Struthio camelus: one gene and its partners. The protein of the gene in region 3 interacts with the protein of the main gene of each other region in a biochemical or structural test. Links are inferred from orthologs where the notes say so. Each region holds a gene or a part of one and is shown on either strand. Other genes may lie near its edges.

Region 1 (7,315 bases), on a different chromosome or scaffold from region 3:
CGCGGGAAAAGGGGCAGGAGCAGGGTGGGAAGGGGCTGCGGGCAGCGCGGGAAAAGGGGCAGGAGCAGGGTGGGAAGGGGCCGAGGGCAGCGCGGGAAAAGGGGCAGGAGCAGGGTGGGAAGGGGCTGCGGGCAGCGCGGGAAAAGGGCCAAGGGCACCCTGGGAACCGTAGCATGGGCAACAGCACAAGGGGACACGGGGCTTTCAGCACGGGGGACCAAAGGGAGCTGGAGGCAGCGTCCTTGGGGACCTCTCCAGGTTTTCTGGGGCTGCAGGCGGTGGCAGGAGGTGGGCAGCAGCGGCCGTAAGCTGCCGTCATTCCTGCAGGCCCCGGCTGCAGGGAGCAGCCCTGCGGCTGCTGTGGCCATCGCAGAGCCTTCTGCGCCGGGAAGAGGGGCAGAAGCCGGGCGTAGGGGGTGCCAGCACATTGGCAGCGTGGTGCCTCCGACACCCCCACGCAGCCCTCTACGTGTCTGTGCACACACTAGCTCCGAGCCCCGTGCGGGGCAGCGGGGGGCCAGGCCGAGCCGGTGGCCGGGAAGAGGGGGGAGTGGCGGGGGGCCAGGCCGAACCGGCTCCAGCCCCGGCCCGCGGGGCTCCTGGGGCCGCTGCTCCCTCCCGGCCCGGCAGGTTCCACCTTAACGGCGACGCAGCTGCGAGCAGCAGCTCCAGGGCTGCAGCGACCTGGCGGTGCACAGCTGGCTGCACAGCTGGCGCCGGGGCCACCCAAAGCCCTCCGGGGTGAGCCCGGCAGCACCCCAGGGTGCAGACCCCGGGGTGCCTGGCCCGGGGTGAGCACCCCCCTCCTGCCCGGCACTGAGCCGAGTGCTGAAAGCGGAGCCCGGCGCTGCGGGACGGAGCAGCAGGTTTTTTTTTTTCCTTCCCCATTTTTTTGCTCTGCTCGGAGGTGGCATTCGGGGACCTCGCAGCCCTCCCTCGCTCCCAGCCCGGCGGGAAGTCGGTGTCGGCCCCGTGCCGATAACAGCGCGGGAGGGCAGGAGCGCCCAAGGATAAATCATTCGCGCCCCTGCAGGCCTTGGTGTCCTCATTAATGCTTCCTCCGTGGGGAGTCTCCTCCCAGCTGGAGACAATAACACTAAAAAAGAAACGAAACAAAAAAAAAACACCCCCCCCCCGTCCTTCGCAATTCTCTGGATAAGTAAAGTTCCTGCTTGTTATAATTATCACCGGCGTCCCCAACCTTTATTGTTCTAGGGGTGGATAAATAGCTGCGGCTCACGCACAGCTGGTGGGAGCGGGTGTCTTGCAGCCAGCGCTCCTCACTCTCCTGCGTGCACGAGCGCTTTGGGGGGCAGCGGGGTTTGCACGAGGGCTTTGGGGGGAGCAGTGGTGTTTGCACAAGGGCTTTGGGGTGCAGCGGTGTTTGCACGAGCACTTTGGGGGGAGCAGCGGTGTTTGCACGAGGGCTTTGGGGGGCGGCAGCAGGGTTGCAGCAGGGCGCTGGGGCTCCGCGCGGGCGCTGCCATGCCCTTCAGCCAGCTGAAATTCAAGGAGCTGGGCGAGGAGGAGCCCGGCTCGGACGAGGAGAGCCTGGACAGCGTGAAGGCACTGGCGGCCAAGCTGAAGCTGCAGACGCGGCGGCCCTCCTACCTGGAGTGGAAAGCGCGGGTGCAGGGGCAGCCCTGGCCGAGCAGGGCGCCCGAGGGGGCCGGGGAAGCACGGGGGGCAGAGCGGGTGCCGGCGCGCCCCGAGGAGCTGCCGGCCGGCCGCCTCCGCGGCTTCGCCTCCATGCAGGAGGCTCTGCAGTGGCTCAGGACGGAGCTGGTGAGTGGGCGCCGCGGGGAGTGCAGCTGGGCGGGGGTCCCGAGGGACGGCGGGGGGCGGCCGCGGGGCTGCGCCGGGCTCGGGGCGCCCCAGCTGCGGCTTGGCGCAGGGGCGGCTGCTTCGAGGGGTGCGCGGCGCCCCGTCCCTGCCCGCCTGCCCCGCACGGCGCCTCGCCTGCTCCGCCGCTGGCACGGCCCCGGCGTCAGCGTGGCGCGTCCCTCGGGCCGGCGCGGCCGCCCTGGCCTCTGCAGCGGGTCACCGCAACAGCTGTGCGGGTGCAGCCCCAGGGGCGGCCGTCCCGGGGGCACGGGTGCACGGTGGGGGCGTGCATGCGTGTGTGTGGGCCCCGTGCATGGTACCAGGGAGGATGTGTACACACACATGCATGGGCCCCATGCATGGTGCTGGGGGAGGATGTGCACCCACATGTGCATGGGCCCCATGCATGGTGCTGGGGGGGGATGTGCACACACATGTGCATGGACCCCATGCACGGTCCCGGGGGGGAACATGTGCACCCACATGTGCATGGGCCCTGTGCACAGTGCCGGGGGGGAACATGTGCACACGCATGTGCATGGGCCCCGTGCACGGTGCTGGGGAGGCATGTGCACCCACACGTGCATGGGCCCCCTGGATGGTGCTGGGGGGGAACATGTGCACACACGTGTGCATGGCCCCCGTGCACGGTGCTGGGGAGGGGATGCATGTACGTGGGCCCTGTGCGCAGTGCCGGGGAGGGGAGCGCTCGTGGCCCCCGGAGGGTTGTGGCCCGGCTCCCCTTGCCCGGGGCGAGGGCGGGTGACCCGGGTGGCGGCGGCAGCACCCTGACGGCTCGCTCTCGCCGCGCAGCGGGAGATGCAGGCAGCCGACCAGCTCCTGGCCCGGCAGCTGATGCGCCTGCGGGGGCAGCTGCACCGGCTGAAGGTGGAGCAGGCCTGCCACCGGCACAAGGAGATGCTGGACGACGCCACCTTTGGCCTCGAGGGCTGCGAGGAGGACTCGGACCTGCTCTGCAACATCCCGCCCAAGGCCGCCTTCCTGCTCTCCACGCCGCTCAAGCACATCGGCGTCACCCGCATGAACATCAACTCCCGCCGCTTCTCCCTCTGCTGAGCGCGCCGGACCCCCGGGGGCCCCTCGGCGGCGGGGGGCCACGGTGCAAAGCAGCCCTCCGAGAGGGAATAAAGGAGCTGAGGGCGAGCGGCGATGTCGTTTGCGGAGCCCACCGCCCGGGTCTGTGCCGCGCGGCGGCAGGTGCCCTCTCCAGCATCCTGGCAGCGCTCGGGCCGAGCGGCTGCGGGAGATGCCCCGTCGCTGCCGGGTCGCGGCTCAGCTGGAGCCCGCGGCCGAGGCCGGGAGGCGCCGGGGGCCGAGCAGCCCCGGTGCCCGGCGCCGGCCCTCGGCAAGCAGCGGGCCCCCCGGGCGCCGTTTCCGGCCGCCGTTTCCTGTTCCCAGGACTGCAGCAGGACGCGGCGGGGAGCAGCCGCAGCGCTCCCGTGATGCCGGCGGAGCAGGGCTGGACGCGTGCCCGGCGGGGCCCGGGGCCGCGGGCGCCTGCGCCAGGAAGCGATGCCGGAACCGCGTCGAGGCCGAGCCGGCGGCGGCCGCCGTGCCGAGGGCGAGCGCCCCCGGCCCTCTCCTCTTTCCCGCCGCGTCTCTTCCCGTGGCCTCTCGCCGCGTGGGGCTGCTGGCCGGCCCCGGGCACCGTGCCGGCCGGGCTGGGCCCTCGAGCCGCCGCCAGCGCCTGCCGCGGCCCCCCGGCGCGGGCTGGGCTTCCTGCCCCTGCCTCCGCGCAGCAGCCGGCACCGACCTGTGGCTTTGCCTCCGAGCGCGAAAGCCAAGACAATAGCTTTGCGGTCGCTCTGCTCGGAGCGCTCTCCAAAAACAGGGGGCTGGCGGCGTGGCGCAGCCCTGCAGGCGAGCTGCCCCCAGCCCGCGCCGGCCCCGGCCTGGCGTCCCCGCAGCTCCCGGTGCGGCTGCAGGGGGGCTGCCGCCCTCCGCCCGGGGGCTCTCGTGGCGCCGGGGGACGATCCGGGGAGCATAATAAAATCCTGGCCGCCCCAGCCCCTTGCAGCATGTCCCCCACCCCACGCAAGCCCCCGCTCCCCCTCCGGCCGGGGTCCTGGCGGGGGCGGCCCTGCCGGCTCCGTCCCAGCCCTCGCCGGTCGCCCCGAGCATCCCCGTCTCGCGTCGTTCGCTGCCCGCTCCCGACGCCGTGGGGCCCCACGCTGGGTCCCCCCCTTCCCCGGGCTGCCGCGTTCACGCGGGTGGGCTGGGTGCATCCACCCGGGGTGAGCGCGGGGGGCACCCGGTGCCGGCGGGTGGGAGCCCGGGCGCCGCTGCGCAGCCCGGCCCGGCTGGCAGGAAGCCCCTGGGGTTGGTCGCCAGCACTTGCGGTCGTGCGCGAGCTGTGAACCAGCTTCTCTAGAGTTTGCTCATGAGGCAGGAAACCAGGGAAGGCGGCGAGCGAGCGAGCGTGAGCGGCGGCGGCGGCGAGCGCGCGCCCCAGGCTCTCGCCTCCTCGCCCGGCACCGTCTGCCCGAGGATGGAGAGCAGGGCGTGAGCGGGCACGGCGCCTTCGCTCCCGCTGCCGGGCCATGGAAATCTGAGCGCGGCCGGTCCTCGCCTCGCTGCCGACAGGTACCGGGTGCCCGGGGCGCCCGCGGAGGGGTTGCGCCGGCCCGGGAGCTGGGGACCCCGCGGGAGCCCGGCCGGGGTGGAGGGGGTCCCTTCGCGCTCTCCAAAGTCACCCGGGCGGGATGGAGATGGGGTGGGAGCGACGTCCCGGGAGGGAGCCGGCGGGCGCCGCGGCCGGGCGCAGGCTCAGACACGGCGCCTGGGCGGTCGCGCCGGGCCCGGGGCCGAGGAGAGGCCGTTCCCGGGGCGGCCCCGAGCCCCCCTGCCAGGGCTCCCCGGCCGTGGGTGGCAGCCGTTAGGCACCGGCTGGGTTTCGGTGCCCGTCACCTGGTGAAACCCGGCTGGTTTTGGGCGCTGAGATGCGGCTGCTTTAGGTGCAAACATTGCCGTGCCACAAGGGCAGGAAGGGGCAAGTGCTCGGGTCACCGGCATCTCTGCAAGGCTCGGCGGCGCTGGGGCACCCGGCGGCGCTGGGGCACCCGGTGGCACTCGGGGCCGAGCGACGCGGCCGCCCACGCTCAGGGCTGCGAGCAGCGCCTTCGCCGCTGCCACCGCCCGGCCGCCAGCGAGAGCGGCCCGAGGCGGCCCGGGGAGCGCTGGGGACCCTTGGGGAGCGGAGGGAGGGGGTCAGCCCAGCCGCCAGCCCTCGCCAGGCTTCGCGTTCAGCCACGCGCGTGCTGGCAAAGGCACCAACGCCGGCCTGGCCGAAGAAGCGTGCGCACAGAAACATGGCATCCGGGCTGGCACATGGCAGCTCCTCCAGAACCGGTTGCACACGGGCGGACACGCCGGCAAGCAAACCCAGGGAGCGGTGCCTGCACGCATGCGTGGGCACCTGCATGCATGTAGGGGCACATACACGCGTGGGCACCCACACCCATGTGTGGGCACATGCAGGCATGCGTGGGCCCCTGCACGCACCCGCGAGCGGGTGCAGGCGCCCGCAGGCCGGCAGGCGCAGCCCTGCGCCCCAGAGCCGGGCCCCGGCGCGGGGCAAGGGCGCCTACACACATCACTCGCACGCAGCCTTGACACGAGAAATTCAGTTACACCGATGCAGTTGCAAAACCTGACTTCAAACGCCCCGCGACACGGCATGCCCCTCACGCTGAGCAGGTGAAACGGTTGTTTGGTGGAAATTACTCTGTGGCTTGAGTACATAAAAAAGAAAAATTACACACAGCACCAGCACGCACCTCCCTCCCTTCCCCGGCTTCTTGCACAAAGGAAAAAACACCTCTTGGCACTGTTTGCCTTCGGTGAGCGTGTCAGCGCTCGCAGCTCGCAGGGCTGCTTGCAGGCTTGCGAGGTCGCACGGCTTTTCCTCCGCCGGGGCCGAGGTCTTGCCCCGGTTGGGTCACTCGGGGCCGGCCCCGGGAGCGGACGGAGCCCGCGCTCAGCGGCCCCCGCGGCCCCTCGCCCTCCTCGGGCCGCCGCAGCCCGGCCGAGCGCTCGGCTCCGGGCCGTTAGCCGCCACCAAAGAGCTTCTTCACGTAGGTGCAGCCGGAAGCTGAAAGCAGCCGGGTGTTTTGGGGGGTGTCAGGCGCCCGAGCAGCGCTGGAGGGCACGGCGGGGCTCGCGCGCCCACCCTCTCCGTGCCGGCTGCCGGGGCAGCTCGCGCCGCGGGGCGGATGCGCCGTCCCCCGGCGGCACGGCCGCGCCGAACCCCCTTGTGCTTCTCCATCGCGGGGGCGAGGGAGGATGTCCGCCGTCTTCAAAAACAGCCCGCGGCGCAGCCGCCCCGGCCCGGAGAGGGGAAGACAGGCAAAAATGTCAAAAAATACAGCCCGCGCCCCGGGCGCTGACGTGGCAGCGAGGCAGCGGCTCCGGCGGCGGGTGCTGGGGCCGGTGCCACCCTGGGGACCCCCCCGGTTCCCACGCCCCGGCTGGCTGCTCCCCCCCAGCCCCGTGCGGTTACGCACATGCAAGCGAAACCGCTCGAGGGTCGCGTCCCGCTGCCCTCCAGCCGCCAGCCCGCGTGGCGGCCAAGTTAAATGGACGCTTTTGTGAAAAGCAGAGACGCGTTTTTAAAGGGTGGCACTCTGGGGAAGGGAAAAATAAGGAGAAGGTAGCGTCGGTGTTAGCAGCGCCGGCGGGCATCGTCGCTCCGGCGGGATGGCCCCCTCTCCCCCTTTGGCTGCCGGGACCCCCGGCTTCGTGCCGCGCTCGGCCGCGGCGGGAGGGCGCGAGCCTCCCGGGCGGTTTGCAGCGCCCGGGCGCTTCCTGCGGCGTGCGGCACTGCTGCCCGGCGGCCCCGGCGCCCAAACCGTGCAAACTGGGGGATGCTCGAGGTCCGGGGGGGGGGTCCCCGCTGTCGAGGGGCGAGCTGCCGAGGGGCCCCCGAGGAGCGACTGGGGTTTAGAGCACAGCCCTGATGCAGGAGAAAGCAGAGCCCAGGGGCGCGGGGGTCCGACCCCCCCCAGCCCTCAGACGAGTCGCTCTGCAGGGGACGGGCCCTGCCGGAAAAGAGAGCGCGACGCCAGCGGGAGGGTGCAGCAGCCCTGCGGCCCCGGGGGCTGAGGCGCTAACGGGCCCGGCGGCTGCTGAGCTCGTTAGCGCTGCAGTTTGCAAAGCTCTCGGCCCAGCGCAAGGGTAACGAACGCCCCGGGGGCGAGAAGGAAACTGGGGGTGACGCCGGGGGTGGGTGCGTGGAAGCTCTTCCCGCCGACTGCAGGAGCTGCTTTGAAGGCCAAGGACCTCGTCAAATGCTTGATGCAACGCCACGCAAAGAATTATTAATTGCTAATCGAGTAGTAACGATAGACTGATTAAGTAAAAGGGAGCCGGTAGGAATCAGCCTAAGGGCTGCGAGGGGGAAGGAGCCGCGGCAGGAGGGGGCAGCCCCAAGCCGGGGCGGCCGCAGGGGGAGGCTGCCGGGAGCTCGGGAAGC
Region 2 (7,419 bases), on a different chromosome or scaffold from region 3:
TATAACTCCTGGGCTCAGCCGGGACCCAGGCTAGAGGAGCCACCTGCAGAACAGTCCTTCCTCCCTGGATGCCAACTTTTGGCATTCCCACCACCTCCCCAGGGGGGTTGCTCCAACATTTAACGACCCGCCTGGTTAAAAGCACATCCTGTGTTTCTAACCTAGCTCCATCATCCTGATGTTGGCTCCCTCTTCCATTTTGCTGTCTGTTTATCCCCCCCTCCCCAGATCTGCTATCAGATATCATCTGCCCTCCGGGATTAACCCTTGGATGCCTGTAAAAACTACCAAAAGCTGCACGTTTCTGCCAAGGAAAAGAAAAAAAAGAAATTGAGTTCAGTCTCCCAAGTGCTGTTGGAGATACAGCTGAAACCTATCTGGGGCCTTCAACAGGTTTCCTTGGTGCGGAAGGGGGTGTCACCTGCTTTCTGTGTCGCCCCCCCCTTAGCCGCTTATCCTGATCCAGACTGATGCTGCGACGCTCCTCCTGGGCTCCCATGCAAAGTGCTCCCTCCTCCCTCGGGCCACCGATAAAACCGCAGGGTCTCACCTGGCTGGTGGGGCCCTGCAGCACCTAAAGGGGTGTTCACGCGGTGCCCCCGTGGCGGTGAGCGCGGCAGGGGTCAGCGACGCTTTCGGGCACGCCAGCGAGATCCCAAGGAGGACTGCTCCGGCACGGAGCAGTCTCTGGGTGCCGGAGCCGCTGCAGCCTCCCCAGGGCAGTTTCTCTCGGAGCAGGGTTGGAGCAGGCGCCTGGTCCTCAGCGCTGCCCAGGCTGGACCCACAGACAGGGGAGAGCTCGAGCCGGCCGAGTTGAGCCCGCTAAAGCTGCGAGGGCCTCAGCCCAGAGCCCCAGGCCCACATACTCCAGCGCTGGGGAAGCAGGATTCGGATGCAAGCTGGCATCTCCGTTCCCCACATCATCCCCGCTGGATTTGGTGCCCACTGCTCTGTCCCCCGGGTACCACCCGGGTACCACTGCCCGCCCACACCCCTCGCATCCCCAAGCACTTTGGCTTGGATCTCATCCCCCCATTATTCCTCACGCTTGGCAGGAATTACTAATTCTTGAGAGCTCCCAACTCAGTCCTGAGCTATCCTCCTCCCATCCCTCCTCCCTCTTCCCTCTGGAAAGGAGAGGGTGTTTTGGCTAATTGATTGCGCCAAGTCATTAGAGGCACAATTAAGCACCATGTTCCTCAGAAAACATGAAAGCAAGCAAGGATGGAGTTTGGCCCCAGGTTAAGACGGGAAGAAAGAGATGGCAAGATAGCCGCTCCCCGCACGCAAGGGGCTGTCTGAGGAGAGCTCTGGGCTCCTGGGAACTGCCCCGAAACCTGCCTTTCCTCTGGCTGCCTGGCACTGCGAGCCGGCCCCCTCCCGCCCGCGCCCCACGCAGCCATGCATGCACGCATCCGTGGACGACGGAGGCAGCGGGGAGCAGCCCGGGGGGACGCCTGCACCGCCAGGAGCGCGGGCGTCCCCGCAGAGCCTGGTCCAGCGAGCAGAGGCAGCGCGAGCCAAAAAGCCCTGGGATGGGTGCAGGGAACAACGCTCTGCCCTGCAGCGTGCCCCGCATCGGGCACGGGCCAAAAACGGGCAGCACGGGGGCAGCGAAGAGGTAATTTGGGACACACATGAAATCAGAGCCCAGATTTTACTAGCAAACGAAGAGGGCCGGGTACCGATCTCTCCGGTGCTGGAGGGACGCGGGCAGAGCGCAGTCTGGCCCGATCGCCCTCAGGAGAAGAGCGACGTGCCGAGAGGCAATATCCCCACTTGCTCCCCTCCCTGCTTTAATTAAAATCGTCCTCAAAATGACGGCTCCGCTGGCGAGGCTTCGAAACGAGGCTGCCCTCGGCACCGGAGAGGGCTCCGGGGCCGGCACGGCGAGAGCCGCGAGGCGGACGCCGGTTCCCAAGTCCCTTGGGCGCTTCTGGAGCATCTGCGTCCCCGTCTCTCGTGTTCGTGACGCGAACGCCCTCCCGCGGCATCAGCTCGCAGGTGAATTCCCCAGGGTCCAGGAAGCTGGGATCCTTCACTCGGGCTTTCCCTAGGAAGTTCATGCCCATGAGTGTGGATTCTCAGCTGTCTAGTACAGCCAATACAGCAACCTTCTCGTCTGCGGGGCTCTCCTGTCTCTGGATACCGGCTCTTGCCCAAGCTGCACTGTCCGAAAGCCCTGGAGGCACAAGCGCCACTGCCAGCCAGGGCTAAAACCAGCCAGGAGATCCAGAGACGAGACAGATCCGCAGGATCGGTGACTGCCCACGCTTCGCTCCTTTAGGAAACCTGGCTTCAGGTCTATCCCCTGTTTTAGACGCTTAAGCACTCCCCAAAGCGTCCAGCGCTTGGCTGCCAGCACGCGGTCGCTGAGATGCCACCCCACGCCGAGCTGGTCTGGCACCGGCGCGTTCCCCGGAGGGGCCTGGGCGAACCTGCCGGGCCGTTTGCGTAAAACCAGCCTTCGCAGCGCCCGCAGGCTGCCACGTGCTGCTCCTCTCGCACCAGGTCTCATCGGGGAGACGGGGCAGAGGACTCTGGCTCTTGCATCCCTTCCTCCAGGACAAAGGCAAAGCCTTCAGCATCACTTTCCTGCCGGCCCGCATCCCGGATCGCTACGGCGGGTGACTCACCGTGGACGGGTGCCCAGGGTCCCTCCTGGCCTGGCGTGGGAATATTACACGGTCAGGATTTTATTCTCAGGACGGGAATCGCTGCTGCAGGGACGAAGGAGGTGTTTACGGGCCAAAAGAAGCAAGATCCAGGGGGTTACGGACGAGGTGCCTCGGGGCAAGCTGTGGGTGAGATACTGCTTGTCTTCCTGGTGGCACCGGGAACATCGGTTGGGGAAGGGTCAGAAGCCCCCCTTGGCCCCCAGCCCACTCCCGCTGGGCCGGACGAGGGAGCTCAGGACCACTGATCTGGCCTGCGCAAGCCAGATCTGCCACATCCCAGCAGAGCGCAGCGTCTCCCGGGCCTCGTCCCTCCTTCTCGTCCTCCTTTCCCCGGAAGCGCGGCCGAGAGCAGCCCTGCGCCTCCTCGCCATCCTGCCGACTCAGCTCCGCCAAAAGCCTGGCCTTGGCTCTCTGCCCTGCGAGGAAGTTCGGCTCCTCCTCGGCTGGACCCCCAGCGACAACAGGCGCTGCTGCGCAGTTTTTCCTTTCTTTACTTTCCCTTTTCCTGCAGGCTGATTCCCACCAGCTGAAGGGCCCCCTCTCCTGGTGCAAAGCAAGGAGGTGGCTGCCCACGTCTTCTCCAAATCCAGCCCTCCAAACAGGGTGGCTCCGACGCAGCGGCCCAGGCCAGGCCGTGGCACGGGCAGGGACCCTTTCCCAGACTATTGAAGGTGGGGTCCCGAGCTGTGTCCCGAGCATCGTTCCCCTCACCCTTCCTTTGCACTGTGGCATTTCTACTGTCCCCGTAGTCCCGCTTTCTCCACCTTCCCCTCTAAACTTGGCCGTACGTCCTCCCTTTCCTTCCGTCCTTCCAGCAGCCCCAGCATTCATGGCTTGCAGTCGCTGGGACCGGTGACTTCACCCAGCTTAAAGCAAATCTGGCCTTTCCCCAGCCGGATCAGTTTTGAACCCACTCAGGTCCTGGGACCTCCTGCCAGGTAGGAGATCAACACTTCCAGCAGGAACGGAAATCAGCCCAACACGGCAGTCCGACAGCACACTGGGGAGTTGCACGACGTAGCCCGGGGCACAAGGGTCTGTGTGCTTGGGCAGCCGCAGGTCTCCTCTGAACCCCGGTGGGGCCGCTGGGCTGCTCACCTCGGCCCAAGAGCCGTCTTCCAAGGACCTCTGGACACGCGAGGTTGTTGGCCGTCGCGCAATAAGCCAGGAGGTGCAGCAGAGCCCACGAGCGAACGAGACAAACCCAAAGAGGAGGAGGCTGTTTGTGTCCATTCACCATCAAGGAGGAGAGAAGGAAAGGGAGAAGGACACAGCAGGGGCTGCTGATCACCATCCTAAAACCAGCACGGCAGGACAACGCGGTCGTGGGGCTATTTCTCCAGGCCTCCTTCTAGGTCTGACGGATTGCAAAAGCCTGGAGCCACCTGCACAGTTCCCCACCGGGCCGGGTTCACATTTTGTGTTTTCCTTCAGGAGCCAAGGTCCCAAAGTCCCAGTGCTGCTTCCCAGAAGAGAGGCAGGGCCCGGGAGAAGGGATGCCCCGAGCCGGCAGGCCGCGTGCGGGGCTGTGCCCGGAAAGGTGCTTCTGCACAGCAGTTACTATTGCAAGAGAAATCTGCCCCCCAAAACTCCTTGCAGCCCCCACACAAGGGAAAATCCCGAGCCTCATCCCCATTCTCCCTGCCCGCCCCCTCCAGACCGGGCCAGCCTGGGCACCTAGGCAAAGCATTTTTCCCCGATGAGCGAGTGGTGATGCTGCGGCTCTGCGTGCACCGCGGATGTGTGCGCGCATCCGGACGCCTGCGTGCGCACACGGGCACGCACCTCTCGGGCAGGTACGTCCGCGCAGGTGCCCGCGTTGGGCTGCGTTTGCCAGTGCGTGAGGGCGCGGAGGGGTGCTGGCGCGCGCACGCTCGGCCCTGCGTTTATGGGCACGCAAGCTTGGGTGGGTGCATTTCTATGGGTGCGTGCGTGGGTTTGTGTCTGCATCTGTGGGTGCATTTCTGGTGCAAACAGATGCACGAGCTGGTTTCACTTCCTCCCAGGGCTGCTCCGCTTGGTAGCTGCGTGAGGCCGAGCGGGGAAGCAAGCCGACCTGCTGCTGGCGGGGCCTTCCCTGCCCCTCTCCGGGGGGTGCATCCTGCGAACCACGGGGCGATGCGCCAGCTCCTCGCACGGGGCTCAGGGCCTGGCGGGAGTCAGGTCTGCACGACCGGCACGGGCTCACCCGACACCCGGCGAAACCGGGTCGCAGGCTCTTTCCCGCACACCGTGCACAGGAAAGCGCCCTCCAGAAGTGAACGGGGCTTTACAATCCGCTCCCTGGGTACCGGCATCTCCAGCCTCCCTGTTGCCTTTCCTCCCGCATCCCTGCGGTCCCCTCGCCCCCTTCGCGGGACGTCTCCATCGCTTTGTTATCTCTTTTCTTTCTTCCTTCTCTGCTTGCTCTGCTCGCGCTCATCCTCACCGCCGGGCCAGGCAGGAGAGACCGTCCGATGGACGGGGAGGTCGCGTGCGAGCGGCAGGGAGATATCCCCCCCCGGCAGCCGCGCAGGGCCGGGCCGCGGGGCTGTTTTCGGAGCGGCGCTCAGCCCCTATCTCAGCGGAGAGGGGCGGAGGCGAGGGCGGGCAGGGTCCCTGCACCCCCTGCCTAACAGCCCCGGGGCGAAGCGGGGAGGAGAGCGCTCCGTGCAGGGAAGTCCAAGGCCACCCCTTCCCGCACAATGGCATTATTCAGAGCGGCTGGCGCGGGTCCTGCCGGGCTGGCAGGGCAGGCGGGCCCCGGGGGCCGCTCGGGGCGGCAGGCGCCGGGAAGCGTCCCCCAGGCCGAGCGGCGAGCAGGGAGCCGCGCCGGTTTGTAAAGCGATTGGATGGCAACTGGCGAAGCACGCTTGCAGCCCGCTGACTTGCGGTCGCCAGCGTCGGGGCGGGACGATCCCGAAGCAAGGAAAGAAACGAGAGCAAGCAAAAAACCGAAGAGAGGCGCGCGCCGGCGCTTCCTGCTTTGCCCTACATGGCCGCGGCGTTTTGCGATACGAGGCAGGAAGTGACAAGCGCTTTTTCTTTCTAATTGAGCCTGCGAGGCATGATTTAGTCTGCGAACGCCTCGTCGCTGGATGGGGCGCTTTGGCCGGAGGGAGGGACGGCGGTAAACGAGCCTCGTGGGAGAAGCGCCGGGAGAGCCGTGGCCTGGCGGGGCGCAGCATTGCCTCCCGGCTGCGGAGGAAAGCGCCGCACCGCGAGGCTCCCGCCGCCCGCCTAGGGCTGCCCGCTGCGCCGAGCCCTGCCCGTCCCCCAGGGACCCCCGTCTCCTGTCACCGCCGGCAGCTTCTCAGGGCCAAGCCAAAAGGGAGTCGGGCTTTTTAAGCCTGTTTTCCAGGGTCTTTGCAGCTCCCACCTGCAGCTGCTGCCTGGAGGCGCCGGCCTAATTTTGGCACGGTTCTCGCGATTTGGAGTCTGGCGCGTGGAGCGGGATGATGGGCCTGCTCCCCCCACCCTCACCCACCGCGCAGCCAGGCCGGGCGTCCGCAGCGTTTCGCGGCCTCCTCCCCGAGACGCGCCGCCCGTGCCCCGTCCCCTCCAAAGGCAGCGAGCGGCCTGAGCCGGGGTCCAGCCGCGTTTGACCCCGGGCGACCCTGCAGACAGGCTGTGCGGCGGGTGCCAGGGCCGGGGAGCTGCAGCGAGCCGCGCGCGCTGGGGCGCGCTGGGGGTGCCGGGTTCGGGCTGGTGGGCACCCGCTCGGCGTTTGCGAAATCAGCGCAGGCCACTTGCAGAGCTAGAGCGCGGCTGGAGCCAGTAAGTGACGAGGCGCGCACGGCCCGTGCAAGGAGGGAAACGGCAGGGAAGTGCCCAGGAGACGCTACGGAGCCGCCCGGAGCCGGTCAGGAAGCCCAAGCAGCGTCGTGCGCTGCCGGGAAGGGCGGCGTGTGCGCGGGCCCGGCCGCCCCCTCACCCCCCCCCCGCCGCCGCGCTCCGCGGCTCCGCTCGTGGCCCGGCAGGTGGCGCGGCCGCGCTGCCCGGGCGGCGGCGGCGGCGGCGGCGGCGGGCGGCGGGCGGCGGGCGGCGGGCGGCGGGCGGCGGCGGGGTCGGGCCGTGGCGGCGCGGCGCAGGCGCGCTGCTCCGGGCGCACCGATTCCGGGCGTCGCTTCCTGGCAGCAGGCCCCGCCGGCCCCGGCAGCGCCGCCCCGGGCCGAGCCCGCGCCCCTCGGCCCCGCGGCAGCGGCCGCGCCGCCGCCCGCCCGGCAGCGCCGCAGCGCAGCGCAGCGCAGCGGACGTTTCGCGGCGCCGCGTCGGGCAGCGGAACCCCGGGGCGGCGGCGGCCGCTTTGTTTCCTCCTCCCCTTCCGCCGCCGCCGCCGCCGCCGCCGGCCCAGCCGAGCCCGGAGGCCCCGCCGGCGCCGCATGGAGTACGCGGCGGCGGGCTGAGCGCCGCTGCCCTGCCCTCGCCCCCTGCCCGCCGCGCCGCGGCGGCGGCGGCCGCGCACCGGAGCCCGCCGGAGGTGAGTGCTCGGCCGGCGGGGACCGGCCCGGCCCCGGCTCCCCTCCCCCTTCCCCAACCTTCCGCCGTTCATCCGTGCGCTGAGCGCGTCGGGCCGCCGCCGGGCCCGCCCTGCCCTGCCGCCCGCCGGGGGCGCGGCCGCCGCGGGGCAGCGGCGGGGAGCGGGGGGCAGAGCCGGTGCGGCGGCGCCGGAGCCGTCGGGGCCGCTGCGGCGCGGCGGCCGCGGGCGGCGGCGAGGCCAAGGGGCGCCCGGCGAGCCCGGTCCTCGGCCGCCCGACGGCGC
Region 3 (7,451 bases):
TGGAGGGTAGAGGAGGAACTCGAATTATTGGGCTAATGGAAAAAAAAAAAAGTACTGCAAATCCTGCAAGCATTCCCCCCCCCCTTTTTTTTTAAAATAAGAACAAAGTTTTATTTTGCAAAGATAGGCAATGATGCATTGCATCAGATATGTTAGCATAACCTTTTTGATTAGGAAGTCAGCCTAGATAATAGAAGGCATTAGGGTATCAACCTTGCACTAAAGATTTTAAAAGGCACACACCTGCCAACTAAGGATTTTCATAAAGCTAGCTATTCTGTTTAGGTGGAAATGAAAGACTAAACAATATTGCACAAAACAGTGATGCGTTTAATGGGATATTTCAGTAGTACAAATGTTTACAAAGGCAGATGCAACTCCAGGATTTGTTTTTTTGTGGACAATTCTATCCGCTTTCAAATACCCCAAAGACAACTACTCACCACTTATTAACAGTATAATTAGATGGATATGAGTCTTATTTAGAGGATTTACATAATAAAAAGTCTTTGCACAGGTTCTAGGTATTCCGGACTTTTATTTTTTAAATGTAGTTTGGAGTTCTCAAAAGTGGTTTGGGTATTGCAGGGAATTTGAGATATTCTGTCAGATGCCTGGGCTTGTGGTGGGAATCCAACAATCTTAAAATTTGTCCTGCTGGGTTTTCAAAATCACTAGGTAATTTAGGCTCTTAGACACTAATCATAACGTCAAAACAAATCCCAAAGCACACTCAACACTGACTAGCAAGCGCCTGAAAATTATTCCTTCCATAAAACCAAAGCTTACCCCACCTTTTCCTAGTGTTGCCCCTCCAGTAACAAACTCCTCCCTAAAAGACTGAGCAGTTAGTTCACAGCTACTAGGCAAAGTAATCTACAGAGCAAAGATGAAGTATAAAAGTCCTATCACCCTTATAGGAAAAAAATCAACCTCTAGGAGCCTTCTGCTCCTACCTTTTCCCCCTCTTGTATATATAGAAAAAGGTGTCCTGAAAGCCAAAATCAAACCTACAGGGAAAATTTTACAGATGGGTCATATCTGTAGAGGTGCGGTACAAAATGGAAAGACAGCGTCTCAAATAAGCATGCACCAAACGACATGGTGAAACCATGGTTTGTAATGTCGAGTCCTGGACACCGCAGAATCAGACTGCTAATTGCTTTAAGTGTGCTAGAGAGGAGTTAGACGATTTCATTTCTTTAAGGCTCTTCTGTTTAGCAGCAACACATAGCAAGAAACTGGATCAAGCCAGACTACTGTCTGTAGACAGAAAAAATAACTATTGTTTGAAATAAAACACTGCTACCCTTCTTTCTGTCTTCTGGTCCTTGCTGTCAGCTAATGCAGCCACTGACTGGAGGTGACTGCAAAAGCAGACCGTAACCCGCCCTCCCTGAGAAAAAGGGAGCAGTAGGAAGCCATAGGAAAGACTTATAAAATGAAAAGTAGGACAGCAGATTAAAAAAAAGTCAGGAAAAATGAGAGAAAGTGTTTCTCTTTTCCTTTACAGCACAGCATTCACTTGTTTTCTGGTAACATCCAACCAGATTTATTGAGTGATGGCTCTCTTCAGAGACTTTGAAGGACAAGACAACGAATGTTCAGACCTCATACACTCTTTTAGTTGGTTATCAACTAAAGGCAGATAATTTTCTTGCTTACATCAGTATAAATCTGCAGTTACTACAATAAAGTGAAGATAGAAACAAATAAATTCAACATATGTGAGAAGCAGTTCTGGCCCTAAATGTAATTTGCTACGATTTCAGAACGTGTAAGTTATGAGCCACTTTTAGGATGAACGTTACTTAAGAGAAAAGACTTTGTATCCGCCCTGACCTATGCCAAATTCTATTAACTACCTAAACTGAAGAAAGGTACATAGATATGCAACGCTGTATGTTCTTTTCAAGAAAATCTTTTCTTCAAACATAAATCAACCAAATTCTTATTTTCGTATAAATTATTACCTCAATATTAGTTGATTTTATTGCTACTCACCACTGCAACTCTTTCACATCTAGTATGTTTTGTGAGATCAACCTCTGCAGCTAAATCTTCCTTTTTTAAAACTAAAAAAGGTCAAGTGACTTAAATTCACCAGTGGGGTAGTATAGTCAATTCAGAATTTTGAAGGCTCTTTGAAGAAGCAGTTTTTATAAACTAATTAATTATAAATGTAATTTTCCAACAGTACAAAGAAACTTAAAATGTTTCATTTTTTTCCAGTCCCACTGCAGTAAAAATCAAAGTTTGAGGAACTGTATGCAGAATCTGAGATGAAGGAGTGGCTTTAATGGATGGGAATTTTTTTTTCTTAAAGCTTTAAAGCACACAAAAACAAAAGTACTGCCTTATGAGATGAAACCAGACATAAATATTGTATTGAATAGGTTCATATAAGAGATCTAAATGTATTCTTTTTCAAATGCAATGGCAATTATTTTTTTTAAGTTGTAGTTCATACAGCACTCAGACATGACCACACGGAAGACATTTTAGCCCTGCATATTATGAGTCAGTCTTCTTGATCTAGGTTCTGACAACATTACAGACAATCGTATTCTAGTTTCTGAACTAGATGTTAGTTCTTCATTTTGCAAAGCTTTTAAATTGTTTCAATTCTACACAGAACGTTATGGGTTCAAAATTAGAAAACGAAATGTCAATTGCTACCTACCTTTGACAAAAGCATCCTGGTCCAGAAAGACAAAGCCAAACGCTAAGACTTTAAGCCACAAAAACATGGTTATTTCTGGAAATTAGGCGTATCCTTATGAAACGGCATGTGTGTGTCTCTCTCTCTAGAAAGCAAAATAAGTATTATCTCTCTGCAAAATAATTTCGAAGCGAAACTTGAATCAAAAAGGAGAATAACCGGGCACATACATTGCACTGCCTGCTTATCACAGTGAAGGAGCTGCTTCCTCTGTTACCCTAAACTAACCACTTGCAAACTTGCAATGCCATGTAGTGATGTCAGAGACAATTACTTCTTCAAAAAAAAAAAAAAAATTCTTTCAGTTTCCAGGAAGTCAAGAGGGTTTTTCTTAAGTTGCTACAGAAATGCTCAGCTTCCTTAATTCAAATGAAATTGAACGTTTTCAGCCATTTCAACTGAGGAACTGAACAAGACTTAACTTTAAAAGTCTAGATTCAACGAACAGCCATTCTTTTTCTTCATATTCAGTTTTTTACAGTGTACATTCCACTGAGTCCTTTCTTATTTATAGACTCTTCTCAAGGAGGAAAAAAAAAAAAGAAATCAATCAACATAACTATTACATTGGCAACAAGGCCAAGTACAAAACGGAATGTCACACTATTCACCTGTTCCATAAAAAAATTATAAATCCTTGGAAACTGGAATTTTTTTTCCTTCCTAGTAGTTGGTAGTGGACTATGCTAGTCCTTGAAAATTTGGGTTCCTCTCCTGGAGAACAGGCAAGATACACCAAAGATATTTCCCCCTCACTGTATGCACTGAGATAGGATGCAACTGAATGAGAAATGCCCATTACATGTGAAATTGCAAAGGCAATAATGTTGGGATTGCATCTCTTACTGGCAAGTTCAAAGTTTTTAAAAGTACCAACAGAATCCTGCCACAAGACAGATAAAGAAGGGAAAAGAGTCTATCTGTGTTATTGTTCATTCATGTCATAAATCCTTTAGAGACTTCCTAAACATTACACTGGGAAAAGTTGCACAAATTTGCATAATAATTCACATATGAAATTAGCGAATCAGACTCTCCATAAGATTAAAAATAGCTTTCTCTGGTCCAAGTTCAAGTGAAGTCCTATAACACAGACTAAAATCTTAGCTTACCTTAAACAGCATGTCTGTATAACAACTGGTTATAATAATAATTACATTACAAATGCATTCACAACAAAACTGACGTAGTGGCATCAGTGAATCTCCAGAGACCCTAGCTTTGATATACAATAACTTCATCATCCAGAAGTTGCCATGAGTTGAACCTGGACTACAGTCATATACTGTCTTCAACACTGGTATCTTAGTCCTTGCTATCCGTAGACAAAACCATAGTGTCAAAGTGTCCCATATGACGAAAATAGAGCACTGTACCCTATAGAGAATTTCACGTGAAGGTTGTCAGTCAGGTAAGTGGAGCCAAGCTCCATTTCTACCTGATCTTCCCAGGCAGTTTTACAGAGCCACTGCCTGACTTTTCAAGCCACCTTTCCAAGAAAAAAAGGCTACACAATGGACCTTTTCTGTCTGTGTGATACTTACAGAGCCTTCACTTAAATATTGCAACATATCACATGTATTATTTAATGATACACATTGCACACTCTAGCCATCACTGTAAATTGGGGTATGTTATTAATATCCCTCATTTAACAGCTGAGGAACTATAAACCATCGATTGCTAAAATTACTAACCCAAGATTACACATGAAACTCCAGGGAGGTTACAGGTACTCAAACCATATATACTGAGTTTTACTGAAGTGCTAACAAGAAAAAACTCTTTCTTTCCCAGAGCAGACCCCTCATTCAGCAAATCTATTTCCATGGCCGTGAAAGCAACATATTTTGGCATTGAGTTTAAGCATTGCCCCATATCTGAGAGAAAAAAAAATACACTTCACAGAAATTACATAGTGTCTTTGATCTTAGGTTAGCCTCAGACGTTGCAATACTTCATCTGCTTGCTATGCATCTGAAATGCAAATATCGGTGCAGCCTGTCTATTTGACATTTGTCTATTTGAACATCTGAAGAAGAAATGAAAGATATTGTGTTACTAACACATTGGTTTTTCAAAGAAACTAATCAATAAGCTGATACTGTGAATTGCCGTGTGCATTTTAGTCACGAAGTCCTTAAAACAGCTGCATACCTGGCCAAAGGAGGAGGAAGGAAGTGTGTGACAAGCAGCAAACTTTCAAGCTTTCTCCCTTCATAATTCAAGCCTTTGAAAGCAGGTAATTATCAACTACATACATGAAGCTAAAAGTTACACAACTTTTAGCAGGAAGTGCAGATTTAAGCAAAAATATAGGATCAGGCAAACGGAATCAGCGTCGTCTGCTAGCATGTTCCTTAGGCAGAAGACCCTAAATGTTGCAAGATGTAAAATGGTACGTATCAGAGACTTCAAAACTGACAGAGAAATCTTAGCTCTACTGGTAAACAAAAGAGGGCAGTTTAGCTCCTCTCAGCCATATGAGAATGATTGTTCAGAGAATGATTGTTATAGATTTGCTGAGTAAAAAAGACAGTCCATAAAAGTGGTTGCCTCAGAAACAGTAGAAGAAGATGATTTGAAAGGGAAAAATTCCTGCACGAAAAGTCGATGTAGAGCGGGCTGATGGCCAAGATATGGCCTCTTCTGTTTAACTTTTCTGGTAAGGTTTTGGTTTGGTAAGTTAAAATCATTGTACTATGAACAAGTCAAAGAATAGACTAAGAAGCAGGGAAATTTCAGTTCTAATGTGGTTCAGTTCCTTGCTGAAAATTATCCTATAAAAATGTTAGCCTGGGATTTTACACTGTTTGTCTTGTACTGAGCTCCATTTCAGTCCATTATTAATATATGACAGCTACATAGATGTATTTACACCCCATCTCATATTTCCTGTTCAGCTCAGCCAGAATGAATAGTGAATGCATTTAAGGCTATTAGAACAACATCAAGTCTTTTCCCAAGCATAAACTGCAGTCTTACTCTCAAGGATAAGCCAAAAAAGACCACCTTTTGGGGTGCAGGAGGAGATAAATTTATTCTGTTCGCATATTAAGCAATGGAGTATTAATAAAACAGACCTCTTTTCAGGCCACACCATTTATTTTTAAACAGCCAAATGATTTCATCAAGATGTAACTATGGAGGTGATACTTCCCCTGAACAAGAAAGAATTAAAGCCAGAACTGTCAATCTGTACGACTAAAGATTTTGGCAATGACGATGAAAACAGTGCAAAAACTTAACTCACCCATCTCTTTGAAAGCTTGCTTCTTTTGTAAGACACAAAGAGACTGTAAGAAGTAAATCTTTCACTGTCTGCTTCACCTATCTTGCAATACAGTAGATCTGTTAAATTGCCATAAATACGTATCTCTGTGTTCCATACAGTTACACATAGCACAAAGGGCAATCTTGTCAGAGCTGCAATAAAACTCTAAAAATATAAGTAAAGTGCTAATAATAATCAGTTTTCCTTTCAATTTATATCTGAAGCCTTTGGAAAAGATCACAAATGCATTGTAAAAGACTCTTGGATACACTGAAATCATTCGTTTCTTGTAGGCTTAACTGGAAGTTCTGTTATCAATGGTAGGTGGTGACAGAAGTATAGATAAATATTAATCTCTTAAAATTCACAGCAGTAATTATTAGCATGCATCATGGACAACAAGATGTTGTTTGTCCCCCTGTCCTTTAGCTTCATGCCAAAAATTAATAATTAAAAAAATTAATTAATAGAGAATAGAGTCCTTAAATACAGAGGAAAGAAAGGGAATTCGAGGAAGAAAGAATTTAAGCAATATGACCTTGCTGCAAATGAGTTGTAAAGAAGCAATTCACACTTCAATAAACCATAATTTTAAATGAAAATACATTCCAATAATAATCCAAAATAGATTAATTCTATATTCATTAAATCAGTTTAAAGTATTTTATGACACAAATGTTTACTATAGGACACTAATTATGCCAATTGAAAATATTTCTGTGCTGAAGCTATCATGTTTTTGGAGATAAATTAACCATCCTATTTTTTTAATTTTTTTAATTGGAATGGTAAAAGAAAAACTCACAAGAAACAACAGAAACATAACATCAGATGCATTTCAGAACTAACTTATGCAATATAGGAATATAGGCAGGCTATATTCAGTTTCAGCACTTAAAATCCACCAAAACTGGGTTTGACAGTCACAAAAAAAGTTTGATTCTGCTGCGACAATGAAAGTAAAAATCTTAGTAATCTTAGTGCATGTATTAGATACTATATGTCCAGAGCTCTATCCCTCCAGTAGATTTGTGAAACAGATATGACTTAAGGAGGGGAAAAAAAAAAGATCAAACTATTCCACAGAGAGATGCAATGAAGATGCAGTGACATCCACTATTTTTGACTTGCATTGACTTACATGTGACGCACATTTCCCACAGGAGAATAGCAATTATTGAATAAGCAGATGATGATAAGGATATGCCTTCCTCAACCTGCCTTCCATCATCATTCTCTGTCGCTCGCTCGCTCTAGTGCTCAGCTAGCTCGGATAAACACCCATGGAATTAGATATGAGGCCCTGAGCCAAGGGCTCTCCCTTAGGGAAGTATGTGTTTCGCTAGTAACTACATAGCCACTGTCCTGGGCATAGTGAGTTGAGTTTCAGGAAAAGATGAGTCTCAGCACAGAGCCCTTCAGTCCCAGCCCTGAACTGTTTGGCATCCCCATTAC

What was found. The genes of interacting proteins can lie anywhere in the genome.
Region 1: of the proteins of PTPRC (region 3) and LCK, one has a biochemical effect on the other in vitro, tested with the Homo sapiens proteins (5 studies listed by BioGRID and IntAct, with this or other methods). The link is inferred for Struthio camelus from reciprocal best matches to the Homo sapiens genes PTPRC and LCK.
Region 2: of the proteins of PTPRC (region 3) and CSK, one has a biochemical effect on the other in vitro, tested with the Homo sapiens proteins (2 studies listed by IntAct). The link is inferred for Struthio camelus from reciprocal best matches to the Homo sapiens genes PTPRC and CSK.

What each region holds. Positions count from the first base shown.
Region 1 is NC_090964.1:8,587,726-8,595,040, forward strand, and holds the start of LCK (tyrosine-protein kinase Lck), read left to right. Parts: upstream 1-4,298; 5' UTR 4,299-4,428; intron 4,429-7,315. Other genes in the region: myotubularin-related protein 9-like, read right to left, coding at 1-428; protein FAM167B, read left to right, coding at 1,486-1,785, 2,638-2,901. UniProt on the Homo sapiens protein: Non-receptor tyrosine-protein kinase that plays an essential role in the selection and maturation of developing T-cells in the thymus and in the function of mature T-cells. Plays a key role in T-cell antigen receptor (TCR)-linked signal transduction pathways.
Region 2 is NC_090953.1:23,421,850-23,429,268, reverse strand, and holds the start of CSK (tyrosine-protein kinase CSK), read left to right. Parts: upstream 1-4,402; 5' UTR 4,403-4,417; coding exon 4,418-4,474; intron 4,475-4,781; exon of another isoform or gene 4,782-4,796; coding exon of another isoform or gene 4,797-4,841; intron 4,842-5,735; exon of another isoform or gene 5,736-5,787; intron 5,788-6,993; exon of another isoform or gene 6,994-7,137; intron 7,138-7,419. UniProt on the Homo sapiens protein: Non-receptor tyrosine-protein kinase that plays an important role in the regulation of cell growth, differentiation, migration and immune response.
Region 3 is NC_090949.1:12,353,964-12,361,414, reverse strand, and holds the start of PTPRC (receptor-type tyrosine-protein phosphatase C), read right to left. Parts: upstream 3,012-7,451; 5' UTR 2,893-3,011; intron 2,808-2,892; 5' UTR 2,751-2,807; coding exon 2,684-2,750; intron 1-2,683. UniProt on the Homo sapiens protein: Protein tyrosine-protein phosphatase required for T-cell activation through the antigen receptor. Acts as a positive regulator of T-cell coactivation upon binding to DPP4.